3 linked regions of the Oryzias latipes genome follow. Each later gene encodes a partner of the first gene's protein in a complex. Links are inferred from orthologs where the notes say so. Each region holds a gene or a part of one and is shown in the gene's direction. Other genes may lie near its edges. The genes, in order: mad2l1, mad1l1 and mad2l1bp.

Region 1 (10,074 bases):
CTTTGGAAAATATTGATTTTGAAATCCAAGGTTCTGAAAAAAGACGTAGAATTATAATAATATTCCACATGATTAAAAATGAATATTTTAAAATGCTGTTTTAAAATAATGAACAGGTTTTTAACGCAAAATGAAATATGTTGAATAATATAATGGCTAATTTTAAATCTGTGTGCAGCTTTTTCACCATTTCATGATCTTTTTTATATATTTATGAGAGATTTATTGGTTGATTGTGTATTTGCATGAGGTCATATTTATTTATTGAATTAAATATTTATTTATTTAATTATGAACAGGATAGAACTCCATAGTTCTCAGGGCGGACTTCGTCCAGTCCCGGAGCTTTGCTACCGAGGAGCTCATGGACTGCCTCAGTGACTTCAGCTTGAGTGATGGACAGCCCCACCCCAAAGTTCTCTTTCTCTGCTTCCTCAAAACGTCAAAATCACATATTGTAAAAAAAGTATTCCTTCTAAATGCTGATAGATGGATTTTAGAATATGAAACCATAGGAAGTAATTATCAATCAGAAGAGCTTTTAACCATGTCATTCTAAATGTAGCTTCAAATTGATGCCACCTTTGTCATAACTTTTAAATAGTTGGGAACGTTTGATATGGGGGGTTTGTTTTTCCACTGGACCTGAAAAGTAATTGAGTAAACCTTCTTTAACCTTTGTGCTATCTTAGATGCCCCCCCCCCCCCTTCCATTGAGGTGTTCTCCCCACCATGACAAAGGTGGATAAAGGTGGAAAGATTTCATGTAATCCATGGACACCAGTGAAGATCACAAATCATTGAAGAAAAAAGGTTCAGAGCACTGTCTAGTGGGTCTAGATGACCCACTGTCTAGTGGGTCTAAATGACCCAACTCCCAATGTTAAAGTTCCTAGGATAGAACAAGGGTTAAGTTTGGAGAGGATGTGTACAAAGAATAGCAGGGAGAAATTATCTTAGAGACTCCCTCTTTGGTTAACAAATTTCTCCCAAAAATAGTTAAAGCTCTTGTCAGTCAGCGACTTATACTTTGCTTCACATCAAGCAACCAGTTTGAAATGTTGACTTCTTCCGTCCTTATTGTGTTTTTTAGACAATAATGCACCCAGATATTTTCCTTCATTAACAATCCTGATGGCTTCAGTAGTTTGGTGATGACATGAATAAACAGGGATAATTTCACATTTTGTAAATTTTCAAGCCTGATGCTTTGAAAAATAACTGAAACCTGTTTTAGAGCTTTAAAAACCTCTATGTAATTTTTTAGAAGCCACTCCTTTGTTATCCGGGTAACGTGTTTGGGATGGTTGTCATGCTGAAAGACCCAGCCATGCTTCATCTTCAATGCTGATGGAAGGAGGTTTTCACTCTAAATCTGACCATACATGGCCCCATTCATATTTTCCTTTACACAGATCAGTCGTCCTGGTCCCTTTGCTGAAAAACAGCCCCATAGCATGATGCTTCCACCCCCATGCTTTACAGTAGGTCTGGTGTTCTTTGGATGCAGGTCAGCATTCTTTCTCCTCTAAACAGTAGAGTTCCTACCAAAAAGTTCTATTTTGGTTTCATCTGACCATAGGACATTCTCCCAGTCTTCTTCTGGATCCTCCAAATGCTCTCTAGCAGACTGTAGACGGACCTGCACATGTACCGGCTTTAGCAGGGGGACACGTCTGGCCCTGCAGGGTTTGAGTCCCTGGTGGTGTAGTGTGTTACTGATGGTAGCCTTTGTTCCTTTGGTCCCAGCTCTCTGCAGGTCATTCACTAGGTCCCCCATGGGGTTGTGGGATTTTTGATCACCGTTCTTGTGATCATTCTGACCCCACGGGGTGAGATCTTGGGGGGAGCCCCAGATGGAGGGAGACTCACAGTGGTCTTGTATGTCTTCCATTCCTTAATAATTGATTTCTTCACACCAAGCTGCTCACCTGTTGCAGATTCAGTCTTCCAGCCTGGTACAGGTTTGGTTTCTGGTGTCCTTAGACAGCTCTTTGGTCTCCATAGTGGAGTTTGAAGTGTGACTGTGTGAGGTTGTGGACAGGTGCCTTTCTATAGATAACCAGTTTAAACAGGTGTAACTAATACAGTTAACCAGTGGAGGACAGAGGATCCTCTACAGAAGTAGTTACAGGTCTGAGAGACAGAAATCTTGATTGTTTGTCAGTGACCAAAGACTTATTTTCCACCATAATTTACACAAATAATTAATAATAAATAAACTAAATATATAAATTATTAAAAAGATCGGACGATGTGATTTTCTGGATTTTTTTCACATTTTGACCTTAATAAAAAAATAAAGGCCAATAGCGGCAGTCCTCTGTGACACATGGCCGCTGTGACAGTGCATCAGTGTTCTGGTGCCGTGCCACTGGCCTGACTTGGCCTGTGGCTCCTCAATCCAGCGCGCCAGCTGGCCCTCCGGCTCCTTAAAAGACATCAGCCACTGTAGGGCAGCCTGATCAGTCCTGACCGTGAAATGAAGACCCCCCAGGTAATATCTGAAGTGTCTAATGGCACTGACCACAGCGAGGAGTTCCATTCGGGTGGAGCACTAGCCTTGCTCAACTTTGTTAAAGGTCCAGCTGTAGTATGCAACCACTCTGTCCCCCACAGGTCTTACCTGGGACAGAACTGCACCACAGCCCACATTGCTGGCATCCGTGTCCAGTAGAAAGGGCAGAACAGGGTCAGGTGGAAACAGACCAGGTGCTTACCGCTGCCATCTTTTCTGTGTCTATAGGTGTTTTATTCACAGATGGTTTGGGTGGCTCATCTGGATATACATAACAGACAGAGCTCTTCTTTTTTCTTGAATCAGACTTGGTTTTGTCAGTCATGGACAGGGTGTGAACTACATGGGACCCCGATCTAGAGGAAATTTGGTCATCTGGATAACATGTCCATCAGAAAATGTAAGGGTTCCTCTCTTGGTATCAATAACACAACCTTGGGCCCGCAAAAAAAAATCAAGGCCTGGTAAGCATTCTTCCAAGTCAGCAATCCACACAGGCCAATTCACTTGCTGGTTTCCCACCTCCAGAGTCACAACAGCCTCCCCCTGCATGAAAGTCCGTTCTCCAGTAACAGTCTGTAATGTTACAGCGTTAGGAAGGATGGCTGCATTATTCCTCACCACTGCAGGGCAGTGTTGCAGATGAACCTGTGTCCACTAAAGCTAAGCATGACGCTGCATCAACACTCATAGTTGTGAACCAGCAGTCACCAACCCAGGTTCGGCCCAAAGTCATTAGTCTCTCAGATGGGACTTCTTTGACCCCCACATGGCCAGCATTCCATTTCTGTGGGTCCAATCGGGATGGTTTTTCAGGGGGCCACATTGTCCCGCTTATGCGGTCCCGTTCCTGTTTCCTTGGTTGTCCGGGCAGTCACGAATCAAGTGCCCAGGTTTCCCACAACCCCAGGAGGTCCTGGGTCAGCTCCAGTCTCTTTGGGGGCGGACCTTGGATGCCTGTTCGTTTCTCAGGGTCACAGCTTTTACTAGCTGGGTCAGCTCCTCTGCCCGTGCAGGCCCCTTGGTGTCAGGCTCTGATACACTTGCAGCTCTAACCTTTGGAGGGGCCTCAAGCTCCACCCTGGAGGAGGGCCTCCACAGCATTTTTCTCTCTGTGGCCAGCTCCAGGGCCTCCTGCAGTAACTTACGGTGCGCTGGTTGGGTTTGAACGCGAAGGTCGTCTGGTCCCGGGCTAGCTCTTCCTGAATGGCTGGGGGCATGTGAGCATAAATCTGGTTAACTAATCTGTCGATGTCAACAGCCAGAACTCTTAATTGCTCGCCTTGGCCGAAAGAGCTGCCCCGGTAATGCAATTGTAGCGTCCCTTTCCCACACACTGAGGCACGGAGACTTAATCTCTTAACCCTTGTGCTATTTTAGATGACCCCCCCCTTCCATTGAGGTGTTCTCCCTACCATGACAAAGGGGGATAAAGGTGGAAAGATTTCATGTAATCCATGGACACCAGTGAAGATCACAAATCATTGAAGAACAAAGGTTCAGAGCACTGTCTAGTGGGTCTAGATGACCCAACTCCCAACGTTAAAGTGCCTAGGATAGCACAAGGGTTAAGGTTATTTATTCTGGTTACTGTAGGCTGTAACCAATGCTGCACAACTTGCCCAGAAACTCTTGTATCCTCCCGCTGAGAGCACTCCCCCAAACTTTATTCCCTTGCTCCTGCATCAGCCCCATTTCCTTATTCGGGCCATAGCTGAACCCTATTGGACCAAACTCCCCAACTACAGGTTGAGCGACAGAACTGAGAGCCAATCAGCATTTCTGCTTGATGCGTTCAATGAACACCGGAACTTAGAACGCGACCCCACAGCCACCCAGTACACTGTGTTACATAATTTTTCACCACACTGGTTTAAAAAAATAAAAGACCCTTTTGGGTTATGACAGGTTCTTAAAAAATATTTTCCAATAACAAGCAAAAAGAATTGAAAATTGTAATGAAAGCTCTTCCCTCAGGATTATTTCAACTAATGACCTCTCCCCGTAACCCTTGTGCTATCTTAGGCACTTTACCGTTGGGAGTTGGGTCATCTAGACCCACTAGACAGTGCTCTGAACCTTTTTTCTTCAATGATTTGTGATCTTCACTGGTGTCCATGGATTACATAGCGCACCTCACTCCACTCCGTGCTGAAAACAAATCCACACACACACACAAGAAAAACGTGCCAAAGAAACTTCCACTACACACTAAAAAGGAAATAAATACAGTGAGGAAGACGCTGCCACAAGGGGCCCCTTCACCAACACCACACGCACTGGCGCCCGACTCACACCTATGCAACAATAAAAAGGAATCAGAGTCAACAACACAATAAATACAGCACCACTCTAAAACACATTAAAATGTATAATAAGGGTGGGTAAAGAACACGCAGTGGCTCATGACATCTGCAACACGTCCAGCCGCTAACAGAATCTAGTTAAAAGAGCAGAATAAAAATGAGTAACCGGTGATCTACATTCTCCGACAAGAGGAGCTTCAGCCATACATACCACCATGCAGGCAGGCAGCCACTGTCTGTCAACTCACTCCCTGTTCCTTATAAAGAAGCAGAACAGCTGAACTACATCCCCAATCAAGCAGGCATGCACCTGTCACAGGCCGACCTGCCGGTTACTCAAGGGTGGGGACATAAGATAGCACAAGGGTTAAATATCACAAGGCATCTAAAAATAGACCCTCTATTGACAATTAATGATATTGATATTTTCAATAAAAAATGCTACAACAAACATATATTTACTACTTTATATGAAAAAAGAAGCATAACACCTAAAGGAGAAATTTATTGGAATAATATTTTAACTATCATTTGGACAAAAGCATAGTTACTGCCAGAAACATTTGGCATAAATAACAAAATTAAAGAAATACACAAATGAATTCTACATAACATTTACCCCACACTATGTTCATATTCAAATTCTCAAATATAGGAAATAACTGTAGCTTTTGTAATGATTTCCCAAAATCAGTTCTTCGCCTTTTCTGCCATTGTCAATTCTCCCTTAAATTCTGGATCCAATTGAAAAGATTTATAAGCATGAACAGTACTATTATTATATATTTCAAACACATTCTTACATATTTTAACTCGCAGGATCAATTGGTAGGAAATAGTATTGATTTGTTACTACTTCTATTTAAATAAGTGCTGAGTAAAAAAAACCAAAAAAACAATTTTACAGGATTTTTGATAGAGATTATCAATTTTACTAATATCTTCAAAAGATTATTACATTCAAGGCATAACACTGAAACAATATGAGCTTTTTTGCTTGATGAATAGTTCCCTCTACTGAGAAATACTTTAATATATTTTTATTTATTTTTGTTTTTAAATTTTCCTTTTTGCTAACGATGTCCCTGTTAATTTTATTTACATACTATAATTTATTCTTTATTTTTTAAGATAACATTGATTTTTGCCATCTGACGGTAAACTTGCCGATGTGATGTTTACTGTTGTATAAATAAAGTTTCAAAAAAAGAAAAAAGTCATTTTCTCCTGTCTAGGGTTGACCACGTGGGGAGGTCTGTCTTTTTTGCGCATGCGTAGAGGTTGTCACTGATTTTTCAAATCGGACGGCGGGTACCAGTTTCAGCCTTCAGTGCAGCAAGAAGCCCGACGTTTCTTTTCAACGGTTGATTGTCATTTCATGAAATGACGAGTACTTTAAAAGGAATCACCCTTAAAGGAAGCGCGGAGCTGGTGGCCGAGTTTTTCTGTATGTTTCAACATTTGTTTCTGTACTAGCCGGGCTTTTCAACGGCTCTTCCTCATTTGTTGTGTGCTAGCGGGCGGTCGGGCCCGCGTGCTCGGTTGTTGTGTGTAGCCAGCGAGTGTATTTACGGCGGCTCCAGACCGAAGGCAGAGCCCTAAACCGTCGCAGCATTTTAAAAGCCTTCCTTCTGAAGCCAACTTCTTAAAGATCGAATGGCTGCTTCTGGTCGATGTGTAGGTTAATGGCGGCTTTCTAACACCGCCCACCGCCAGGTGTGCTGGTAAAGAAGCCGAGCGTCACCAGAGTTAAAGTAGGAATGCTAGATTTCGGGTTGAACAGACACAAACTACTTATCATCGGCTGAGTAACTAACGTAGAGTAGTGTGGACGAAAAGAGTGTTCTCAGTCTTTGACCTGAATTAACGTCACAACCCCCCCCCCGCTAATAACAGCCCCGTGATCCTCCCCACAGCCTTCGGCATCAACAGCATCCTGTACCAGCGGGGCATTTACCCCCCAGAGACGTTCACCAGGGTCACTCACTATGACATGAGCCTCCAGGTCTCCACGGAGCCCAGGCTGAACAACTACCTGACCAACGTGGTGTCTCAACTCAAAGGTAGTTTGTCCTTTCTTTGTCCTAAAGCAGGCCGTGTCTGTTAGGACTTTATTTTTCTATTTCTTAACATGGAGGCAATGATCAAGATGCAATTCCTGTCTGTCAGCGTCCAGCAAAGGCTTATTGAAGACAAGAGGCGTGGGATATTGTTTCTCTTTACAGATTTATGGGATATGGAGGTGGATGTTGGGATGATTGACACCTCATGTTGTTTCCACGTGTCGATGTGCCTAAATAGTGATGTTTTCCTGCCCAAAAGTCCTCTAAAAGCCCAAAGAGTTCATCATAATTTAGGGTCAGACGCAACATTGAAGAATTTACACAGATTTCTCAAAGTCATTACAGAAATGATGAAATGCATAGATTAAAACCGTAAGTCACATTTGCTTGATTGAATGAGACACAAACTTGTCTTTGTGGTTCTTGTCAGTTTGGTCTTGAAGTTCCTGCATCCCCTCACTTTGTTCCTCCTTCATTTTCTAAGAACTCTTTTGTGTTGTTTGGTATTGAATGGTAACGATTTCCCACTGGCTCTGAATAGAAGTTAAAACACAACAAGATCATACAGTTTTAGAAGTCTGGATTGATCAAATTGTTTGTATGATCAGGATATCCGGCTTTATGTTCAGTTCTGACGGCTCATTTTTGAAGTAAACAGAGGATGTAGTGAACTCTTAGAATCAGTCCCCCAAATTTCTACACAGTCGGTCAAATATGGTAAAATTAAGGAGCAGTGTAATAAATATCTACTGTCGTATTTTAATATGTTTAGATTTACTTATGATGGAAATACTTTTGGAGACTTTATTTTGTGTGTGTCTGATGTGAGGCTTTAACTTAGTTTGTCATCGATAAAAACGCCTGAGAATCTGAATTCTGTAACACTTTAAATTAAGACATTTATTTTAATTGAGACATCGGTATTGGTGTAGTAGTTAGCAAAATATGTCACACTAGTTTTATCTGGGTTAAAGGAGGATTTGTCGTCAGCCATGATTTTATTTTGTGTGACCCTTGTTCTATCCTAGGCACTTTAACGTTGGGAGTTGGGTCATCTAGACCCACTAGACAGTGCTCTGAACCTTTTTTCTTCAATGATTTGTGATCTTCACTGGTGTCCATGGATTCCATGACATCTTTCCACCTTTATCCACCTTTGTCATGGTAGGAATAACACATCCATGTAAGGGTGGGGTCATCTAAGACAGCACAAGGGTTAACTCTATGTTCACCACATTAAGTTCCCTATGATTGTTTGTAGAATGGAATAGAATAGATCTGTCATCAGCAAATAATGAGTTTTAATAGTTGTGAGACATTGAATATATCATTTATGTAAATACTGAATAGCAGCGGGCCCAGAATTGATCCTTGTGGGACACCACAAGCTATCTATCAAGAATCAGCAGAAAATTAGCATCCTGAAGACGTTTGTGTAGCTCGGTTCGTGTGTTGGTGGTGTTGAAACAGCAGGAATAGGTTTTTCTTGTGTCATGTTAGAACAGGCTTGTTTTCCAGATGGACACACCTGGTCCAGGTAAAACGGGACGGTGATCTGCAAATCTCTGAGCCTGGACTTACCTGGTCTGCGTGTTAGGCCTTAAAGCAGGCGTGTAACGCGGGTTTGGGTTTCAGAATGGCTGTTTGAGTGCAGCGTGCAGAAGCTGGTGCTGGTCATCACCTGCCTGGAGACCAACGAGGTGCTGGAGCGATGGCAGTTTGACATCGAGTGTGACAAGTCGGCCAAAGAGAGCAGGTGAGCCCGCTCTCCAGTTCCAAATGTCTCAAGAGGAAAGGAGCTTCTCCAGGGGCTGGCTATCCCACCACCGCTAGCGTGATCCGCGGCGCGCTGTGGCGTGGACGAGAAGCGCATTTCTTCACATAGGCGTGTTCTGAAGCAGAGTTTACATTTAAATGTAGGTCAAGGCTAGAAAACCCATGTTGTGTGTTTCTCTAGCGCTGGCAGCTAAATGCTAACGTAGAAGATATGCAGCTATTGATGACGCCATCCAGGACTGGTAATGTTCAAATGTTTCCATAACTGCTGGAGGGGGGATGGGCAGGAGCTGGGAGGAATTGGGATTCGGTTTAAACCTTAAAAAAGGTTTTCTGTGGGGTTGGGACTCGGCATGTACTCCAAATCAGGTTCTCATTCTGAGGGAGCAAACGTTTCTGTGGTTTTTATTTCAGGCTGCTGCTCTGCCGTCCAAATAGCTACAATGACTGAGTTTATGGAGAAAAGTGTCTTCAAATCCGGACGTTACAACCGCTCCACAACGTCATGAATAGTAGTCGGTCTGCTGCGTTAGCGCTCAGAAAATACACATCATGGGTTTTATTTAAAAAGTCACGCATAAACAAAGTCATGACTTACATTTAAATGTAAACGTCTGTGCTTCAGCGCACACCCACGTGAGGAAATGCGTTTCTCCTCAACGCCACAGCGTGACGCGGATCGTCCTACCAGCAATCCACCACGGCTCCTCCTTTGAATCACTGTGGGACACCACTACAGCTCCAAAATGCCCCTTCAGCTGGAGCCAGAGGGGTAGGGGGGCAGTCCAGCCTTTGTTTCTGTGTGCTGACCTCTGACTCTGATCCTTTCAAAGCAGTGCTCCCAGAGAGAAGTCCATCAAGACCATTCAGGATGAGATCCGCTCCGTCATCAGACAGATCACGGCCACCGTCACCTTCCTGCCTCTGCTGGAGACGCAGTGTGAGTTCCCATAATCCATCTGTGACTCCTGCAGCTCCTCCCTGCTCGGCCGGCCCTCTGATTAGTTGTTCTTGCAGGCTCCTTTGACCTCCTGGTGTATACGGACAAAGACTTGGTGGTTCCTGACAAGTGGGAAGAGTCGGGGCCTCAGATAATCGACCAATCAGAGGAGGTGCGCTTGCGCTCCTTCACCACCTCTATCCACAAAGTGAGCAGCATGGTGGCGTACAAAAGGACCGACTCGGCTTGCAGCACCTGAGCTGCAGACGTTTACTCTGAGCTCATGAGGAACTCCTGCTTTCCTGGACTGGACTTTCTTCTTTGTTGGAGGATGAGGCGAACCTGTGCTCAGTGAGATCTGATGGAACTTTTTGTTAGTTTGTCTGTCCGATCTGTGTTTTCCTGATCTTTCTCCCCCTCAGAAGATGCTTTCGTTTTTTTACATCATTAAATTCTTTTCTCAGTGTGATT
Region 2 (9,956 bases), on another chromosome or scaffold:
CAGTACCCCCTCCCTAAGGACCGACACCAGACGGTCCAGGAGCCCCGGACCTGAAGAAGTCCGTCAGGAGGGACCTGTCCTCGATGAAACGCTCCGGAATCCACTGGCGGTCCTCTGGACCATAGCCCAGCCAGTCCACTAGGAACTGCCGACCACGACCCCGTTTCCTGACGGCCAGGATCTTCCGCACCGTGTACACCGGTCCACCCCCCACCATCCTCGGCGGCGGCGGGGGCTCCGAGGGAGGCACCAGAGGACTGTCCACCACCGGCTTCACCTTCACCAACAGACATGAACAGACATGAACAGGAAAGGGAAGAACTTTCAAAAGAAAACAGGAAGCGACACACGAGGACACAAATGTCAGACAGGAACTTGACGAAACATGACAAGAATAGGTGTCTTCTGTTTTTGAGGAAGGTCAATACAGGGTTATAAGAGTCCTTCCAGGTGTCTCCAGCTTCTGCATCAGTTTTTGTGGAACAATTCACTTTAAAACAAACAGAAATTTACCAACCGCAGTTTTACAGGCTCATGTAAGATAAAATCAATAAGATGACATTTGCAGTGGATACATTCTTCTCTGCACTGGTGTGATTTAAAGATTGACTGGACAGCTGTTCCATTTGAGAATGACTATGTGGCTCTTTCTGTCAATGCTACTGGACCAGAGCAACAATGAAGTTCTATCAAAAGTACTTGTAGCAAGATGCATCATCACTCCATGTTTGACATTTTAATGCTGATATGGTAATAACACAAATTAGGTGCAACAAAATACTTTTTCAGAAACCCCTTTTTATGACTTTTATGTTTTAATATTGACATGCTTTGAACAGACACAAGATCTGTGCTTAACTGGTGAACTTTAACAAGTGTGTCTGAATCTGGGTCTTTCTGTGTACTAAATGTCATCATACAAAGATCCCTCTACTTATCTTGTTCAGTCTGGTGAAGATGCAGAGAAAAACAACAGAAAGGGACGAGAGGGTGCCAGTGACACATACAAAGAGACAGCATGGAGAAAGCTTTAATAGCCATGAATGCGAGAGACGGTAAGTACGATCGAAAAAAAAACACAAGACACAGAGGAAGTTAGCTGAATACTATTGGGATGAAAGCATATAGAAGGAATTGTAACATATAGAAAAAGGCAGCTATTATATTACATAATAGGACAAAATGCTCTCTCTTTGACTTTTTCAGACAGATTCCCACCCTTTCAGAGGATCTCTTCAAAACTCAAAAAAGCCTTAATAAAGCCACCTCTTTGTCTCCCCCTAGCGTTTATTTACACGTCCACAAGCTCTTTGTCTTAGGAGAGAGCATGATCGTTGTAGATTTAAGAGAATTTTTTTTTGTCTGATGGAAAAATTGGGATTTTTCTGTCTGTTTACACATTCTGATCCTGACTCAATGTATGACAACTCATTTGGTATAGAGATTAGCAGTGCAGCTTTACAATAAATAACATTTCCCAATTCATTTTCTTTTTTCTTTTTTTATTAAAGGTGGACAAACTTGTTCCTCAAGGTAACTAAACCATCAGTGCAAACTATCTTTTTGAATTTGAACATATCACTAAATTGATAAACTCTATGAGAATATTAAAAAAAAAATCAGTCAACTGGACTTCTTTCATGCTTTATTTTTTAAGACATTTCACTTCTTCACCAAGAGGCTTTCTCAAATCTGGAGAAGTTTAGAGAGCCTCTTGAAAATTGGATGAAATATCTTCAATAAGATAACAAAGTCCAGCTGACTGTCCAGATTTATTTTTCCTACCATTGCTTTGATGGAATCCAACTGGATGAATCTAGAAAGACTTTTTATCATGAGAAACAAATGTTCATAGTTTTACTTTCCCAACTTTCCTTTTGAAAAATACAGGTCCAAATCTACAAAATGTTCAAAACAGTTCCCATGTGCTTCTCGTAAAACCTTGTGCTATCCTAGGCACTTTACCATTGGGAGTGGGGTCATCTAGACCCACTAGACAGTGCTCTGAACCTTTTTTCTTCAATGATTTGTGATCTTCACTGGTGTCCATGGATTGCATGAAATCTTTCCACCTTTATCCACCTTTGTCATGGTAGGAATAACATGTCAATGTAAGGGTGAGGTCATCTAAGATAGCACAAGGGTTAAAAATCATGTGTAGATGTTGGGTCAGAGAAATTACTGTATTGTGCTTTTTCTTTTAACCGATATTTTTAAATTTCAGCTTTTATCTTCGCCCTCCAATTTCTGACTTTTTTTTATAACTTGTGAGCATGATTTCTTTTGAGACTGGACCATCTACTATCTATCTTTACACACCTTGAAGTAACTGCTAAGAGATAAAAGGCTGACATTTCCTTCTCTTTGCAACTGACCAACTTTAAAAGAAAACACTTTGCCTTAGCATGTAAACAAATAATATAAATTAGAATAAGCCACTTAAATAAATACATCAGAGGGACGGCTCATGTTGCCTGTGTTAGCGACAAAGTCAGAGAAGCCAGACTGAGATGGTTTGGACATGTTCAGAGGAGGGATAGTGGATATATTGGTAGAAGGATGTTGGAGATGGAGCTGCCTGGCAGGAGGGCAAGAGGATGGCCAAAGAGGAGATATATGGATGTCTTAACAGAGGACATGAAGTTGGCTAATGTTAGGGTAGAAGATGTTCATGATAGAGTGAGGTGGAAAACGATGATTCGCTGTGGCGACCACTGATGGGAAAAGCCGAAAGAGAAAGAAAGAATAAGCCACTAAAATCTTACCATTAGCCCAAAGAGACATATTATGTTCTTGGAATGAGTGGCCATTCATCTGCAATTTTTGAACTTCATTAAAGTTCAAAAATGTGGAAAGAGTGAAACTCTGCTGCTCTCTGCAGGAAAATCTAGGTACCTAGATATTTAGGAATCATGGTCTAACATGTGATGGTAAACATGTTAGAAAATAACAAATCACTAATACGAAATAAGAATTGGAAGAAACAAAAAAAAAATAGAAAAAAGGCACAAAAGAAACAACTCAAGGAGAAATGTATTAATGCCGGATAAAAAAATCAAACAAGTACGGGAGAGGTTTTAAAAATATGCTCATCAAGAAGTTTTTAGTGCGGCCAAAACTGCAAACCAGAGGTTTTCAAAAGACCTGAGGGCAGAACATGAAAAGTCGCAGACGGCAGCTGGATCCCAAAGCTCAAGAATCTTGAACAGAGACATTCCTGGAGGAAGAGGTTGAACATTTGAAGGAAGCTCACAAAAACCTCAGCTCCAAATCCGATGCCCAGATTTCAGCTATACCCAAAAGTAAGTGGAAATCCTATACCAAGAGCTCGAAAATCAAAGATCTCCTGCACAAGAACTTCAGTTCAAGCAGCAGATCATCAACAGCCTTAAAGAGGAGCAGGACGTTTCCCTCCACGCTGTATCCAAAGAGATCCTCCCCATGCGCGACCATTGCAGAGAGCTGTGTTTTCAGGCAGAGCTGAAAAATCAGAAGTTATTGTAAACAATTAAATTTATTAAAGTTAATTTAAATTAAACAAATTAAAAGTGTTTTAGTTCTAATTAGCAGACAGTAAAACAAAGTATGTGTGCAGCAACTTGTGCGATTGTTATTTTTAATGAGAACACCTTGCACTAAATCAAGGCATTTTCACTCTTAAAAAACTATGTGCAAAAATGCTTCCATATTTATGTCTTATGGTATATTTAATTGAAGAAGTACAGTGTTTTAGGTTCTTCATGTGTCAAAAAACATTATTTCTGCCCCCTCTGCTTCTGAAAAAAGAAATGTGTACCTTATTTGCCATGAAAAAATAACTGGAAACTGCTTCAGAAATGATTGATTACTAAGAGATGTCTCCTATAAACCTCTGCATAGAATTTATGATTGTTTTAATGGCAAGATATATTAAAGCAACTGATCCCTACTGTTTTTTCTGTAAAGAACACCCAAAAAGTATTTTTATTATTATTATTAATAATAATGATTGTTATTATTATTTTTATTAATGTAACGTACTAGGTTATTTATCATACAGTCAATACGTATGATATATGCCATCTCCTGTAACTGCGTTGATTTTGCAATTGAATAATAAAGTTAAATGGGGAAAAAAAGGTTACTTCCTGTTGGTATTATCGCGATACTACAGGCTCTCATTCGAGTACTGGAGGGATTTCTCGTTTACTTGCTGAGCAGCTGCTAGCACATTAGCAACATAACAAGAACTTATCAGTTCCCGACAGACATTTTATCGTAAATAAGCTAGTTCTGGGGTAAGTTGTTTAGTTTTTACCCGAAACTTTACAGAACCTTTTGGTACGATAAGCGAGCTAGGATCTCTTTAACCTTTGGACGTTTCCGTGTAGGTGTTTGTCTCATCATCATCATGCTACTTTAATTATCGTAACTGAAAAAACAGACAAACAAACAAAAAACTTTGAATTTTTTGATCTCGAATGTATTTTTAACATGTTTTTTTTAATATGCATTATGTTATTGTTCTCGTCGTTGAACTTGGTATGTGTTTCAATTTTAATTTATGTAAATTAAACTTTTTGTTTAAGCTTTTTATCAGTAAGTCTGGTGATTAATTGACATGTTGTTACTTTTTTGTGAATTATTTTAAGTCTTCCTGTGACAGCTGACGACTTGATCGCGTTTTTATTTATTTTTTAGTTAGATATTTGGCAAAATGGTTATAGTGTTTTGGCAACTTTTTTAAAAAGTTTTTATTAATAGATCTGCGTAATTGCAGAACAACTCCCTGGCAATACATGTCTTTAACACTCTTGGATCAAAACTGACAAACATAAGATGTATCAACTAGTTATAGCCACTTTTTAACTAACATCATGTACTACCTTAATTTGTAAATGTTTAAAGCAGTCGATTTCTTCTTTTTTATATTTTAGGATTGTTTTTCTTTTGAGTTTTTGTATAGTCTATCCATTAATCCTTTAGTACTTATGAGCAAGAACATGATCTATATGTCACATGGTGCTATAATGTGATATTTTGATGTTCTTGCTTGTGTCCTCCCAGCTCTTGTGTCTTTACTACAACACCAGTAAACCCAAAATGGACTTGGAAGATGACACAACCATTTTGAGCACCTTAAAATCTTTCAACACTTTCATCAGTCGTCCTGAGCGTCCACAGCTGCCGTCTGAGCGCTCAGCAGGCAGTGGAGTTCTTCAGAGTCAGTACAAACGCAGCATGGAGGTACAGATAAATCATTTGCTGTGAAAGCAAAATTCAGGAATTAACGACAACCATTCCATCTGACTATTTGCTTTCCCTCTGGCGCATTACTAGATTTTGGAAGCAGCAGAGAGGGTTCACTCTCAGAATCGCTTTCTGCAGTTGGACCAGGAGAAGAAACAGATGGAACTGAGCCACAAGAGAGCTCGTTTTGAGCTGGAGAAAGCGGCTTCCAACAGTGCACGAGACTTTGAGGTATAGTGCATATTCAGCCTTTTCACAGCCATATACAAATAGCATTTGATTATTTTGTGTTGTTATTTTGCAGCATGAGTTGGACAGAAACCAGGATCTTTTGGCCAGAGTTAAAAAGTTGGAAGGGAGGGAATTTGAAGCGGATAAAAACTTATCAGACCAGGTTGAGGAGAACCAAGTTCTCCGTAGGAATCTAGAGGCCGTGAACAAAAAGCTGGAGGAGCGAGACACCAAGCTGAATACGGCTAACAAGGTTCCCGCACAGACGCACACCTATCTGTCTCTTCAGGAATGTCTGTCATCTTACATTCAGTCCTTCTTGCAATCTGTTTCCAGACCATAACTTCTTTGAAAGATGAGCTCAGAGAGTTGAGGCAGAAAATTCAAAACCAAGACTTGGTGTTCTCAGCCCAAACCTTGGAAAAACAGGAGCTACAGGAACAGCTGGATCTGCAGCGCAGGTAAATCCCAACATTTATGATGGTTTTCTTCTTTTTGTTAGATTAATAAGATGTGTTATTGTGTTTTTTTTTTCAGGAAATATCAGGAAATCTCACAACTATGTCAAACTCTCCAAGCTGCCCAGTCTTTATGCTCAGAGCACATTATAAAAATAAAGGTAGCAATCACTTAAAAAATTTGTCGTAAAGATTAATATTACATTTTTCAAGTCTGGAGATGCAATAAATGCTGTTTGTTATTTTAAATCGTATCATTTGAATGAATCTAAATCAGTTTATGATGAAATGAAAGTACTGCATGCTTTGGTAGAAGGTTAAAGGAGCTTTTCTTTTTGGATTTCCCTCCGTCTGATCTTACAGGAGCTGGAGAGGCGTCTTATTCTGCAGGAACAAGACATGGCAATCGTGAAGACTATCAAGTCGGAGGCGGCGAAAGTTACAGATCTGGAAAAAGAGTTGAAGCGCCTTCGAGAAGAAAATTCTTTTCTGAGGTGGAAAAATTTATACGCTTATGATTTGTAGATGTTTAATTCATCATTTCTTTATTTTATTTTATTGTGCTCTTTTTTCTTTTCTTTTTTTGCAGATATAGCAATGTTTTATGAAAAAAAAATTAACAAAATAGACATGAGCCTGGATTACTAATGAATAATAATGAAGACAACCTCTCAACAAACAATAATTCCCCTGGGTTTTTTGGTTTGGGATTATTTCTCAGCAGGACAAAAAGATTCAGCTTTTATTTTAAGCTTGGATATCGCAGCTAAAATAACCAGTTTCTACAATGAATGCCATTCTCCTGTGGAAGTGTCAACACAATGTTTCAGTGTGAAAATGGCTGCAACAGTCACAGAAGCTAATGACAATGCTGACTGTCAATTGCCATGATAACTGATGTGAGAAAATCTAGTTTTCATTGACTGGATTTTAATAATCAGTTTTAGTTTTTTTTTTGTTTTTGTTAATATTTTCATCTAACTTTATTTTATCAGAAAATTCCACCAAATACCATTATGAAGGGAGAACAACAATCTGCTGATTTACCGCTATCATGTCTTTGTGTTTGCATGTTGCTGGGCAGATTACAGATGCTTTTCCGAATTCACTTATTTGTGGATTCTGTCAACATAGTTTCATTAATAAGTATTTTTAAAATATGTTTTTAATATTGCTAATTCACCCAAAAATATTTAAGTTAGATGTGTAAATAGAATAACATAACAAACTGGATTTTCAGCTGTTTGAATTTCTCTCTTTTAACTTCAAACTTGATTCCTTTCTGAAGATTTTTAATTATGTTAACATTTTGGTTTACTGTGGAAAACACTGCTAAGTTGCTGTGGAAGAAAAGGAGCAAAAATGTTATCCATTTATCAAATCAGTTTGATCTATAAAAAAGTTTTTTCATTCTTGAAATATCCAGTAACAGATTGATGATTGCTGAACCCTAAGCTTAGAGTGACTGTGTGGTTCTGCTGTGTTTCTATTTTGTCAGAGAGAGCAGAGAGAATTACAACCTGTTGAAAGAAGAAGCAGAAGGACTTCGTAAAAAACTGGAAAGGATGGAGAAAACCAAAGAAGAGCTCGTCAATGTGGAACTTGAAAAACAGGTGTGATATAACAACACAAATAGTGCCGATAAGGACACAACTATGCAACACAACATGCACAGTTTAGCTCAAACACAAAGTTTTGCCACCGCAAATCAAAAGTAAGTGATGGAGATAAATCCAGTATATCGGAGAAAGTTTATATTATGCTTTTGTAGTTTGGGCTTTTGATTGTTTTCATTTCCCTTAATGTTAATTGTACCTTTTGTTTTTAGCAGGTTTTCTAATAGCGAACATTTTTTATCATATTTTTATTTTTGTCTGCACAAGAAAAGGATAGAGCCGCATTCCAAACACAAACTCAGAACCCAAATGAAACGAGGAGCAACATTTTTTTGTGTGCATCAGTGGATGCAGACGACCTGCAGACACTTTCAAACCCTTTGAGTTTGTCACAAAAGCAGGAAGCCTCCATAAACCACATGAAGCTGTTGGTACTTCGGTGATCCTTCTTCTGGGTTTTGGTTCTTTAGAGCTCTACAGTTTAACTAAAAAGAAGAAAATTAAGTTATAATGAAAAGGTAAATAATAGGAACAACATCTGCTACATCACACAAATATGTGACACATGTCACACATTGCCGGCTCCGCCCCTGTTACGAAAGGCTTCCTGCACATTGAAGGCTACGCGCCGTCACATGATGCTACCTCCACCTCTGTCACAAAATGCTCGCTCTGCCGCTGTCATAGGTCGATAGCTCTGCCTCCCTCACAAAAGGCTGGCTCCGCCTCCCACACAAATAGTTGGCTCCACCTTCGTCAAAACGTGCAGGCTCCGCCCCATCGCAAATAGAAAAACTCTGCCTTTGTCACTATTAGTTGGCTCCGCCCACACCACAAAAATGCTGGCTACGTTACGCTTTGCTTGCTATGCCCCTGTCACAAAAGGTTTGCTCCGCCTTCACACATTAAATGCTCCGCCCCATCACAAAATTCTGGCTCCGCCTCAGTCACAAACAGATGGCTCCGCCCTATCAGACAAAGCAGGCATGGGGGACACTGTGGTCACACAGAGGCAGGTGTGTGATTACATCTAGAAAAGGTTGAGGGGTTAAATTTAGCCTTAACCAGGGCACTAAAACGGTTACTGGTAAGCTTAGCAGCAGCCAGAACCAGATATGGAGTTCATTTGGACTTAGAAAGGCAGAAGCCCAACCTCCTAAGAGGAAGGGAATGGAGGAGCCAAAGCTAAAATGAGGATGCCTGCAAGAGGTGTCTGAGGGTCTGGTCAGGGATGCAGACAGGCAGGTGGAGGAGGCTGAGGAAAAGGCAGGAAGCAAGGAGACTAACCTAATATCAAGGGTCCAACCCTCTGAGGAAGGTCAAAAGGAGAAGTTGGCAGAATCGGCTTAGTTGATGAAGATATTCCAACCAAGACTGCAGGGCTAAGAAGTTGACTTTGTGAATGGTGTTTATTTGTTACTTTTTAACTTATTGTTTATTTAATTCTTGGAGTGGTACAAAAATCATTTCACTGCTGCAAATGTGGATTGATTCTTATTTCACATTCAGAAGTACTGTAGTTTGGTTTGGTTAAGAAATTATTGCTCTAAAATTTCATTCTTCTTGCTGGGAAATAGGCTGAGAAATTGGTCTTAGATTTTAACTTGAGGAAACATGTAAGAACCCTGATCATAGACTTATTTTTCATAAACATGAAATGTTTTTTTGGATTTTAGCATCTGTGGTATTTTTACTGTAACAATCTTTTGTTACATGGCTCTTCAATGTATTTTGGTCTACGAAAAGCCTGGGCTAAAAAAATAATTACAAGTATTTAGTACTCCTTTAATGATAAGATTAAAACAAGGAAATCCTTTTTTGGATGACAATAACAAAACAAGAAAGAGACAATAAAGGTTATGAGCTGTAAAAAAATGTTGTAAAGATCTTTTTTGTTGTTGTTGCTGTGTTTTAATAATTCTTTTTTTATTTATTAGGCCTAATTCTCATTAAATCCTAAATTCAACAGTAACTAGGCTTAATTATTATTCTGTTTTCCCTTTCAGAGGTTGGTTGAAAAGCTCCAAGCTTGGGAGAACCTTGGGCAATCAACTGGACTCAACATAAGGTCAGTCACTGCCTGAAACCAAACCTTTTTTTTTATGTCAAATGAAATGCACAGTATGACCACCAGATGGCACTGCGATCTTTCTGATTCATGGGGGTAAAAATAGATAAAGAGCACTTTCTCTCTTTAGTCAGTTTGTAATGTCACCCAGGTACCAAAATTCAACATTTCAACAGGCACAGAGCTCACACATGCTGGATATGAGGAGGATTGGAGCTTTGGATTGGAACAGGACAGCCACTGAATTTAACACGCAGTAGAGGATTGAGTCTTGTTTCAATGGTGACACTTTAGAACAGGGGTGGGCAATTATTTTGACTCGTGGGCCACATAGGGTTCTAAAATTGGGTAGAA
Region 3 (9,695 bases), on another chromosome or scaffold:
GCTCACATCGTTCATGCCCGTGCTGGCGACGGTGCGGTTGGCGTCGCCCAGAAGGATCAGACCCTCCACGTCACCGTGGCTGTGAACCACGTGTTTGGATAGATCTGCACACAGTTTGCCGTTACACTTCTTTCCAGATCTTAAATACCAAAATAATATAGATTTCCTGCTTTACTTTCAACATAGGGTCCATTTTGGGGATGTTCCCTCACTTTCAAACCCACAGCAGTGGTCGGTGAGGGTTTCTTCTTGAGAAGATCCTGAACTCGCTCGTTGTAGATCTCCAGATAGCTGTGGAAACAAAAAGTCTGACAAAGAGGAGGGAAAAAAAATCCAAACATTTATGATTTTACCCCGTTTTTTAATTTTATATTCAAGTCAAAAACTATTGTTTTGAGAATCTTTCATTAAACAATTTAATTGCATCTATTGTACTAAAAGTGAATAGGAGTTTGTCAGATAAAGATTGTTGTTGTCGAGAGCAACAAGAAAAGAATAAATTCTGAGGTTTATTTTTAAGATTTGCTATTTTTAAAGTTTTTTTATTTTAATTGTTTTTTGTTTTTGTTTAAAACATTAAAAAAGGAGGGGGGCTGATGAATGTATGAGATTAAATGAATTTGTACATAATCTTTAATTACATTTAGGGGCTCCACAATATATGAAAATTCGCAATTTACGATATTTGTGATCAATATTTCGATGACCATATAACTTGCGTTACATGAACAAACAGCAAAACAACTAAAAACATCATTTCCATTTCACTGCAACAGTTTAATGTAAAGGAGAGTCTTAAATTACTTAAATTATACTCCAAATAACCCTTTAGTCTAGATAGGAGGCGACCATCTATCATAAAAGATCTCCATCTGATTAGACAAATGCATAAAGAATATATTTGATGCCATAAGATTGTTTTAGCACATTTAACGTAATCATTTATCGTCATTTTCAGCGACTTTTGCGATATGCATTTTGCACAGTTTGATATCTCGATAACGATAAATAATTTAAGTGAGCTCTGTTAGACCAAAGTGGTTCCATCCTCCGTGATCCATGAAAACCGACTAAGTTTAAAATAAAAAAAAACGTCTCATTAAGTTCCCAATTATGGAAGCGTTTCTGTAGCATAATTAAAAATAGAGGTCACTACCAGAAATGCTTTTTCATTTTCAAAATGAAGCTGCATTTGTTGACTCACATATAAAGTGAAAAGTCAATCTGCCAAACCGCTTTCTTTTTCTTTCAACACCGCTCACTCTGTCACTTAAATAAAATGATGAAGAAAATGGTTTTTGCTATTTTCAAAAGGTTTTCTGGTAAATGTGCAGCAAAATTCATTAGAAATATCTAATTTGACCATTAAAATCGGCAAAAACAGAAATGCTTTTTTATTTTCACAATGTGACTGCATCAAATTACCTCAAATGACTCAAAAATAAAGTTAAAAATCAATCCTCCAAAATGCATTTTAATTTTCTACTTCAACATCGCTCATTTTAAAGTGAAAAATGCAAAGAGGAGATTGAATTTCTCGTTTTCACATCCACAGTGCAAAAAGTGTCGCATAATTAAATTCCAGTCAGCATTTCCAGGAGGGAGGCGGGGCGATGATGTCAGCGCCAATTATTTGAGACTGTAACTAAAAATGCAAAGACTTCAAACGGGAACCAGAAACAAAAAAGGCACCCAAGGTGATAAAATACCGACATTCAATAAAAGTATTAAGCTAAATGCATCTTTTAGGGGTTTGTTGATTTAGTAAACAACTGTACTTCTATATTTGTCTAAAAAAGGTTTTGCTTTTGTTTAAAACTTACCTGACTTCCGTATGAAACGAAACGGCATCAGTTTTGCTTCTTTCGGACATCTCCATAAACAAACCTTCACAGATCCGAGGGATCAAACCTTTATCATCCTAAATTTGACAAAAAAAGTGATTAGATAAATGTTCACAACACTATGGAAAGCAATATCTTTAAAAAAAATGTCTACTAGTGGTTAATATTTTGGGTTTTTTTCAGTGTTGCTATAGAAACACAAGCAAATGCTGCTGATTAACAAATGGGCTGATCTGAAGTGGAGTTACTTAAGCGTGAAAGCAATTTTCCAGTGTGAGCCGGCTGCCTTCTTTAAATCACAAATCAAAAGACAGTCAGCATTTAGAGTCATATAGAATTATCCAGAAGCTTGAACAGCAGCTCCGCTCATGACCTTGTATACGTTTCCAGAAAGACAAGCAGAAACTTCTTCCCACATTTTAAAACTTTCCATCGAAGAATAAGGTGAAGGGCGAAATGCTTCAGTGGGCACGTCAAATTTTCTGATTAGTAAAAAAGAGACAAGCCAGTCTATTGAAGCTGCATCGCCTAAAAAGGTTCTGTGATGTTCTGCAAAGCTGCAGAAATCTGAAACGCTGTGGTGCTCGTAGCGGTTACTGCCCTCACACTCATGGCATTTTCCTGCAGACATCATCAAAAGGCCCTGACTAATAATGGATCAAAAAAACACGTATAAAAAGGGAAACCCTTTAAAAATATAAAGGATGAACAAGAAATTAAGTAGATGTAAGAAGCATGAGGAAGAAGCCCACTAACTGTTAATATTCATTAGTTTTTTTAAGTAAAAACTAAATTATTTAATTTAAAACTTGATGTTCTCAAATTATATACATTCATCTTATTATTGCTTAATACCATATATATTTAAACATGAACACATTGCACAGGGCAGGCCACAAAGTACTGAAAATACTGGAAAAACTCACTTTCAGACCCATCATAGTGTGGGATTTCCCTGAGCCTGTTTGCCCATAAGCAAACATGCAGGCGTTGAACCCTTCAAATGCAGCTTTCAACACACCACAACCCAATTCCTGGAAAATCTGAGCAAAACAAAATGCATCAAGAACAAATATGCTGCAAGCACAAACTTTGGTAAAAAATAAAATTAAAATAAAGATCAGAAGATCTTCCATCATATAGAATAAACATGTACCTTCTGCTGGGATGCAAACGTGGAGCTTTCTGTGTCCATGGAGTCAAAAGCAAAGTCAAATGAGAATGTTTTCTCTCTGTCTTTCACCTTTTCCCCTCGCACAGGTGAAGACTAACATAAAAACAGACAAAAACTCAGATCATTGTTGACCTTGTTCACTTCTACAGACTGTTCTCGCATCATTTTGTGATTCCATACCTTCTGAATGGATATTGTGTTCCCCCTAATGTGAACCGTTTTCTTGGATGATAATTGCTGTTCCCTGTGTAAAAAGCCAAAAACAATCAACTAAACATTTTTAAGAACATCAACAACAACCACAGTTGGGTTAAAAAGCTTTTTTTTGACAAAGTTATCATTAGAAGAGCTCAAAAAATATATATTCAAAAACAAAATGTTAAAAAACAAATAATCATCATGAGCAAGAAGAAGTAGTGCCAATTTTTAAGCAAACTTAAATCTACCTTTTATTCAAAGGGCGGACTCGAACAGCCACGCGCACGGAAGACATGATAAAATAAAACCACTCAAAGGAATGAAACATTCAGGTCGTCACCCTTGTCTTTCTGTTTTCTTCAAGGTAATGAATTAATCTTCTTCCACGTGAACGTCGACTAATTATCACACCTGAGGAAGAAAGGCTACTTTTACTGGATGCACTACACAAATCAGGCACTAGGGGGTGCACTGAGCATTGTTTAGTGTGGCATTTGCAGTGTGATTTCCCGACTTAAAAATCTGTCATTAGCAAAAGAAATGTTATAAAATATGTGGTACTTTAGTTTATAAAATATTGTTCTGAATGGTATGATTTTTCTGTAGTTTTGTTTTGGTGGTCAAAGTATGATGTGTTTACATGTTAGAGTTAATGTCTTACAGTATGCCAGTCAAACATACAATACAAAATCCTATGATGATTATTATTTATATTATTCGTTTGTAAACAAGACAGAAAACATTTTAAACTATTTTTTTCCGAAAAATTTGAACGCACCACTTCAACCATTTCCCATGGTGCAGTTGGGTAGAGCCGAGCAGGCGCCGACTTTCAAAAAAACATGGCGGAACCTTGTTTGGTGCTAAAAACGACTCTAGATCCCGAAGTCTCCGAAAATCAATCCGCCGCAAACAGCGAAGACAGCAGGGTGAAGCGGCGACTGTCTTTTCCCTCCGAAAAAGAAATTAGTTCACGAGAAGAACCGAGTTTAACGTACTTAGACCTGAGTTTACAATGTCTTTCTGACGATTCAAACTCTCCTCAACCGACTGACGAGAAGCTGTCAGCGACGGTCCCAAACGGAACCGATGTCTCTTCTGAACAGCGCGAAGAGGACAAAGAAAACACAGAAATTCATCAAGGTAACAATGTCGAAAGAGTTTAGAAGAATTTTAAAAGGAAACACGTTTATCTCATTCTGACTGTTATGTGGTCTTCCTGCTAAATAATTAGCATAATTTGGCTTTAAAATAAACCTTTATATTTTAGCCATCGATTTCTTTACATAAATCTATATGTCAATTAGTTAATATGTCTACCAGGTTACTGTGATGTTGGCAACAGATATGGACTGTTTACAGAAGAGCAACAGGAAGAGGAGGAGGCCACTTCCTGTCAGGAGTCTGCCAGTGAACGCCACTCAAACACGCAGGACAGGGATGCTGAGGTGGTGAGGAGAGCAAAGGAAGAAGGCTGCGTGAGCGTGATCTTCCCCGGCCCCGTGACCCAAGATGGCAGCTACCGTTTTGTCAGCGAGATCCTCAAATGCGTTCTCTACCAGCGGCAGCAGCTCCCCATGACGTACGAGCAGCTCGTGTTCTCCCAGAAGCGGCAGCAGCAGCGAGACGTGGAGGTGAGAAGCACATTTCCAGCCGTCGGTGGCTCTTATAGAAAATTCAAATTGTGGTGTTTCTTTTCAGGATAAAGATGTGGTGAGACCAAGGAAGGTCCACTCCGCAGACGTGGATTACAAGTGTCAGCAGACCCTTCAGGAGCTGGAGGAGGTGCTCCACCAGCTGGAAGTGCTGTTCTCCCTCAGCAGAGTCCCGCGCGTCTTACTGATGATGGGCGGTTCCCTCGTCCTGCCGAAGGAGCTCTACGAGATCAACATGGAGGACCTGCTGCTGGTCGGCGGGGAGCAGGGTCTGCGAGCGTCCTCCTGCCTGAGGCTCCTCTTCCGCACGCTCTTCGTCGCCGACCTCCTGTCCGACTCCAGACCCGTTCGCTTGATGCCCACCACCGTTTTAGCCCTGGCTCACAGGGATTGCGGCGTGGACTGGTTTCGCCCCAAATTACAATTCAAGATTCCCACCCGGGTCAAAAACCAGATCATCGCTTTGGCCACAGATCCCAACGTCTGTGAGAAGCAGAGGGAAAAGGCCGACTGGCAGGATTATGTTTGGTTCCAGGCACCTGTGACTATTAAGGGCTTCAGCAACTAACACTAAAAGGGATTTGGATCATCAGAATGTGTGTCTGTGTGGAATATAAACGAGTGGATGTTTATTTTAGTAAAATGGTTGTTTTTTTTCGCATTAAGATCATGACATTCATGTGCATGTGTGTTGATTATTATTTTTACCTTTGGCATACAAAAGAATGTTTTGTCTTTGTGTGGGGAACAGAATATGCAGGTATTTCCAGAAAACACCAGACATCGCCGCTTGTGCAATACATTTTAATGAACAAGACTTGAACGGTTTGACAAAAGTCGTTGCTTTTGTTATTCATATCTCGGGACACAGTTAACATCCGTTATTCACTGAAAATGATTTTTAACTAGCATCAAGGAGAGCGAACCAGGTGCAGAGAAGATTAAAGCATATTTGTGTGAAGAATGATGAATTACAATTAAAACCAAAAGCATCATGACTCCTGCTCTGCATTTACAGCTTCTCCACTTTCTTCACAAACTGGATGATGTCTTTAGCGAGCAGCTGGGGCTCTTCGAAGGCGGCAAAGTGACCGCCGCTCGGCATGAGCGTGTAGGACTGGATGTTCCGATATCTGATCTGAGCCCAGGATTTGGGACAGTGCATCAGCTCGTTGGGAAACGCCGCCACACCGGTGGGCACGAAAATCCCGGTTCTACAACACAGAATAACGAGGATCAACAGCTTTGAAAAAGAATGTCAGGATTGGAGAGTAAAAGTTTGTGTGTGTGTGTTTGCATACAGGCCATCGATTCTGCTGTTGGGGTCGCTCTTGAAGTTCTCCTTGTAGAAGCGCATGGAGGAAACGATTGAGCCGGTGGTCCAGTAGATCATGACGTTGGTCAGAAGGTCATCCAAGCTGTACTTCCTGTAAAAAAGGATGTTCACTGAAAAATTAACCCCAGTAAATGAGCCTTTACACGTGAAGCCTGAGCTACTGCAACCCGCCCCCCAATTCTCCCCTTGCCACACTGGTTAGAGAAGCACACGACAAATTCATTAAAAAAAAGAAATTAACTGCAGCTTTTCTATTGGTTTTATCTCCATGGCAACCACTTGAAATTCTGGTTGTCTGTCATTGTTGGAAGAATCTGCAAAAAGCAATCTTTTTTTGATTTCCTTAACAGGTTTTTTGTTAACCCCACCCACTTTCCTAATATGTTCGTGTCGTATGTCCTGTCGCCTAGCAACCGTGAGTCCCGCACAGGAGAGGAGAAGAGAGGAGGCATGGAGTTTAAAAAAATTCCCTGCTTATTTGATCCAACTTTTAATCTTGGAGGTGTAATTATTAAAAAGGTGTAATTATCTCCAACTCTGGGTCCCGCTTCACGGTCCGCCATTGTTGTCAGGACAGGTCCAAGTTGGGCCGCAATGCATCTTGGGATATATGCAGTGTAGAAGGACACACCAGACCAATCCTTAAAATCGTGAAAGAGAAGGACGTACTCGGCTGCATTTGAAGGAGTCGCTGAATTCGGACAGCGCTTGTCGCTGTGACGTAAGCCGCCCACAAAGAACGCAGCCCTCCAATGTGGACACAGCCATTGCTCTGTTCAGCTTGAGGATTCACATTTTAAAACTTCACAACGTTCCAGTAAAAAAATGTGCAAGCAACGGGAACGCCAATTTTGCAAGTTGGCCACACTAACCCCATTCAAAATGTAAAACTTCTAAAAATCCAACATTAATTTACAAGTAGCTTCCCAACGATGCTTGATGAGGTGATGGATAGAAATCCCTCAGGAGTTTAGATTTCTTGTTGACTTTTTTTTTTGGGGGGGGGGGGGGGGGGGGGTCAGGTGATTTCAAGATGGTGGCCCCTTCCTGAGGTCAAAGGTCAATAAAACGTTAAATCAGGTGGCGTATGTGTGAAACATGGGGAGAGGTTGCCATAGAAACGGAAGCATTTTTTTTTTTTACCTCTCCAGTCCCCCGTCGGCCAGATCTCTGTTTTTGTAATCGGTCCAGGTGGAGAACTTCTCCAAAATGTAGGCCGCCAGCCCGACAGGAGAGTCGTTGACCCCACAGCCTGAGGATGAAATCGTTTTGAGAGGGGATCTCGGAGGACAAGCGTGACCAGCACTCTGTCCCCGGTCTCCGGGCGTGGCCTCTCACCTGCGGTGTCGGGTTTGGTGGCCTGAATGTGCATGTAGCCAGATTCCTTCAGGATTTCCCAAACGTTCTTCTTAAAGAACGGGAACAGCCGTCGGACGTCCTCCCGAGTGAGGCCCACCAGGAAGGGCAGATAGGGGCCGATCATCAGAGACAGCATTATCTTGAAGCCCCTCGTGGACATGCACATGTTGAGATGGAGACCCTTCACACACCTGCAGAAGATCAAATGCCAGACCCTTTCACTTTCTTTCACAGCACTTTGTTCAGCTACGAGAGTTTTGACCGTCTTTGGGAATCTGTTCTCACAGAGCAGACATTGTGGTTCCCACAGGCTGCTGTTCAGGACTCACTCAGGCTTCATCTGTGCCATGTTGGTCGTGATGAGGGAGCCCCAGTCCCCTCCTTGCACATAGAACTGCGAGAACCCCAAACGCTCCATCAGCTTCAGGAAAATCCTGGCAACGGCCAGGCTGTCCAACCCTGCCGAGGAGAAAGACTTTGTCCATGACTTCAGCGTGAGCGGGAAAGCCTGGGATCGATGAGGCGCCACCCACCTTGTTTGTGAGAGGCTTCGGAAAAGCCGTAGCCCGGGATGGACGGGATGATGACCTCGAATGCAACGCCGTCCTGGTTCTTAGTGAGAAGTGGGAGAATCCCGTAGAACTCGTAGAAGGAGCCTGGCCAGCCGTGAACGAGCATCAGAGGAAGAACCCTCTGGCCGCTGGCGTGTGACGGGCGCACGCGAAGGAAGTGCACGTCCAGTCCTGCAGAGGATTCAAAAGGGTCGAAATGTTCGAAACTTTTGTGCCTGAAGAAAAATCTCCAAGAAGCCCCCAACAAAATTAATTATGGACCACATCCCTTAGAGCCCCCAACTTTAGCACTACACTCTACAACTGAGAACTTTTCAAACATATGGAATCTTTCTGACTGCCAGTTTTGATGTGATCAGGACTTAAATAATGTAAAACCTTCTAGAGAAGTGTTTCTTTCTGTTTTATGATTTGGTTTTTCAAGTTTGTCTGTTTAACTGATGTTAAATTTACTTATCTTTTGTTCTTTTCATTATATTATCGTATTTTCTGCATTGTGGACTTGTCTTGTTTTGTATAAAAGTTTATTTTTTATATGGGGTTATTTGAAAGGTTGCATAAAAATGCATTTTAATAAACTGGAGGGAAAAACAGCTGCCTTTAAGATCTCTCTTGGAAATAAACCCCAAAAAAATAATAATAATTGCAAACTTTAAGAAAACGTTGGGGAAGAATTCGTTATATTGTCCAGCATGAAGTGTTTATTTGTGTTTGAGGAAATGCAGGAAATGAGCTACAGGAGGAGTTGTTCCAGATAGGATCTGCCTGTTTTAAGGTTTGCCTTGATGGAAACTGCAGAGGGAGGCAGGGGCCGTCAATAAAGTGCACAAAAACATCCCAAACAAACAACAGCAGTTTCTCAGTGACTCAACTATAAATAATCTCCAAAACATGGCAAGAACGTATCATCGTTAAAAAAAAAATTCCACAGAAATCTGTAATATTATTCCTCTTTCTGTTAAAGTGAACCAGCAGGTTCAAGTAACGCAAGTTGTAGACGCCCCCTTATCTCCTCGCTCCAGAACTACAACTGTTGTAGTCCTGATAAAAATTAGCACGAAAAACAAAAAAATAGATTTTAAAATAAAGAAAAAATCTTCGCTTTTGTAGTTTTATAAAAAATGAAGAAAAAAAAGTTTGAACAAAAACACCAGTTTTATTGTTGTGTTTTTTTTTATTGAATGCAGTAGGCTTCCGTAGACTACAGAGTTATTGGCTATGTCCGAATTCCCACCCTAACTACTAAAAAATGATATAGAGCGCCACTATGTAGTGCCCTGAATTTAAATGCAATTTGGACACCATGCTCACTGCTTCTTTTTTTTGTTAAACGACGGATATGATTTAGATTTCATGAAGTAAAAAAATCTAATTGATATGAGCGTTTTACAACGATTATTTATGAATCCACTGTCTTCCGAAGATAAAAAAAAATGTAAGTGCATTCTTTTGGAAAAACTACAACTGTTGTAGTTCTGACAAAAATTACAACGAAAAACAAAAATATATATATTTCAAAAAACGGAAGAAAAAGTTATTTGCTTTTGTAGTTTAATA

The links.
Region 2: the proteins of mad2l1 (region 1) and mad1l1 are in contact, whole or in part, in a crystal structure (PDB 1GO4), measured with the Homo sapiens proteins. The link is inferred for Oryzias latipes from reciprocal best matches to the Homo sapiens genes MAD2L1 and MAD1L1. Residues at the interface, in NP_002349.1 of Homo sapiens: Tyr38, Leu61, Tyr64, Asn67, Val68, Trp75, Gln82, Lys83, Ser89, Ile91, Glu92, Ser93, Gly94, Arg99, Gln101, Ser150, Phe151, Asp152, Leu153, Leu154, Ile155, Tyr156, Thr157, Asp158, Lys159, Asp160, Leu161, Val163, Lys166, Trp167; in NP_001013858.1 of Homo sapiens: Glu527, Arg528, Ala530, Leu531, Gln532, Gly533, Asp534, Tyr535, Gln537, Ser538, Arg539, Thr540, Lys541, Val542, Leu543, His544, Met545, Ser546, Leu547, Asn548, Pro549, Thr550, Ala553, Arg554, Leu557.
Region 3: the proteins of mad2l1 (region 1) and mad2l1bp are in contact, whole or in part, in a crystal structure (PDB 2QYF), measured with the Homo sapiens proteins. The link is inferred for Oryzias latipes from reciprocal best matches to the Homo sapiens genes MAD2L1 and MAD2L1BP. Residues at the interface, in NP_002349.1 of Homo sapiens: Tyr33, Arg45, Thr52, Leu54, Lys122, Asp126, Glu127, Arg129, Ser130, Arg133, Gln134, Thr136, Ala137, Thr138, Thr140, Phe141, Leu142, Leu144, Glu179, Val181, Arg182, Leu183, Arg184, Tyr199, Asp205; in NP_055443.1 of Homo sapiens: Pro61, His79, Tyr82, Gln83, Gln85, Pro88, Leu89, Pro90, Gln93, His96, Ala185, Leu187, Arg188, Phe191, Arg192, Phe195, Asp198, Ala199, Phe200, Ser201, Glu202, Leu203, Gln204, Ala205.

Annotation. Positions count from the first base shown.
Region 1 is NC_019876.2:30,700,907-30,710,980, reverse strand, and holds mad2l1 (mitotic spindle assembly checkpoint protein MAD2A), read left to right. Parts: upstream 1-6,086; 5' UTR 6,087-6,207; coding exon 6,208-6,271; intron 6,272-6,740; coding exon 6,741-6,887; intron 6,888-8,522; coding exon 8,523-8,643; intron 8,644-9,496; coding exon of another isoform or gene 9,497-9,499; coding exon 9,500-9,603; intron 9,604-9,680; coding exon 9,681-9,862; 3' UTR 9,863-10,072; downstream 10,073-10,074. UniProt on the Homo sapiens protein: Component of the spindle-assembly checkpoint that prevents the onset of anaphase until all chromosomes are properly aligned at the metaphase plate.
Region 2 is NC_019859.2:22,952,650-22,962,605, forward strand, and holds the start of mad1l1 (mitotic spindle assembly checkpoint protein MAD1), read left to right. Parts: upstream 1-4,150; 5' UTR 4,151-4,277; intron 4,278-5,046; 5' UTR 5,047-5,082; coding exon 5,083-5,226; intron 5,227-5,319; coding exon 5,320-5,460; intron 5,461-5,533; coding exon 5,534-5,713; intron 5,714-5,796; coding exon 5,797-5,921; intron 5,922-5,997; coding exon 5,998-6,079; intron 6,080-6,281; coding exon 6,282-6,412; intron 6,413-7,416; coding exon 7,417-7,531; intron 7,532-9,540; coding exon 9,541-9,602; intron 9,603-9,956. UniProt on the Homo sapiens protein: Component of the spindle-assembly checkpoint that prevents the onset of anaphase until all chromosomes are properly aligned at the metaphase plate.
Region 3 is NC_019873.2:27,028,643-27,038,337, reverse strand, and holds mad2l1bp (MAD2L1-binding protein), read left to right. Parts: upstream 1-4,010; 5' UTR 4,011-4,058; coding exon 4,059-4,359; intron 4,360-4,578; coding exon 4,579-4,850; intron 4,851-4,917; coding exon 4,918-5,439; 3' UTR 5,440-5,869; downstream 5,870-9,695. Other genes in the region: uncharacterized protein LOC101165914, read right to left, coding at 1-104, 176-291, 1,824-1,921, 2,771-2,887, 3,001-3,111, 3,199-3,262, 3,465-3,544; epoxide hydrolase 1, read right to left, coding at 5,884-6,085, 6,173-6,298, 7,351-7,459, 7,546-7,757, 7,896-8,025, 8,100-8,309. UniProt on the Homo sapiens protein: May function to silence the spindle checkpoint and allow mitosis to proceed through anaphase by binding MAD2L1 after it has become dissociated from the MAD2L1-CDC20 complex.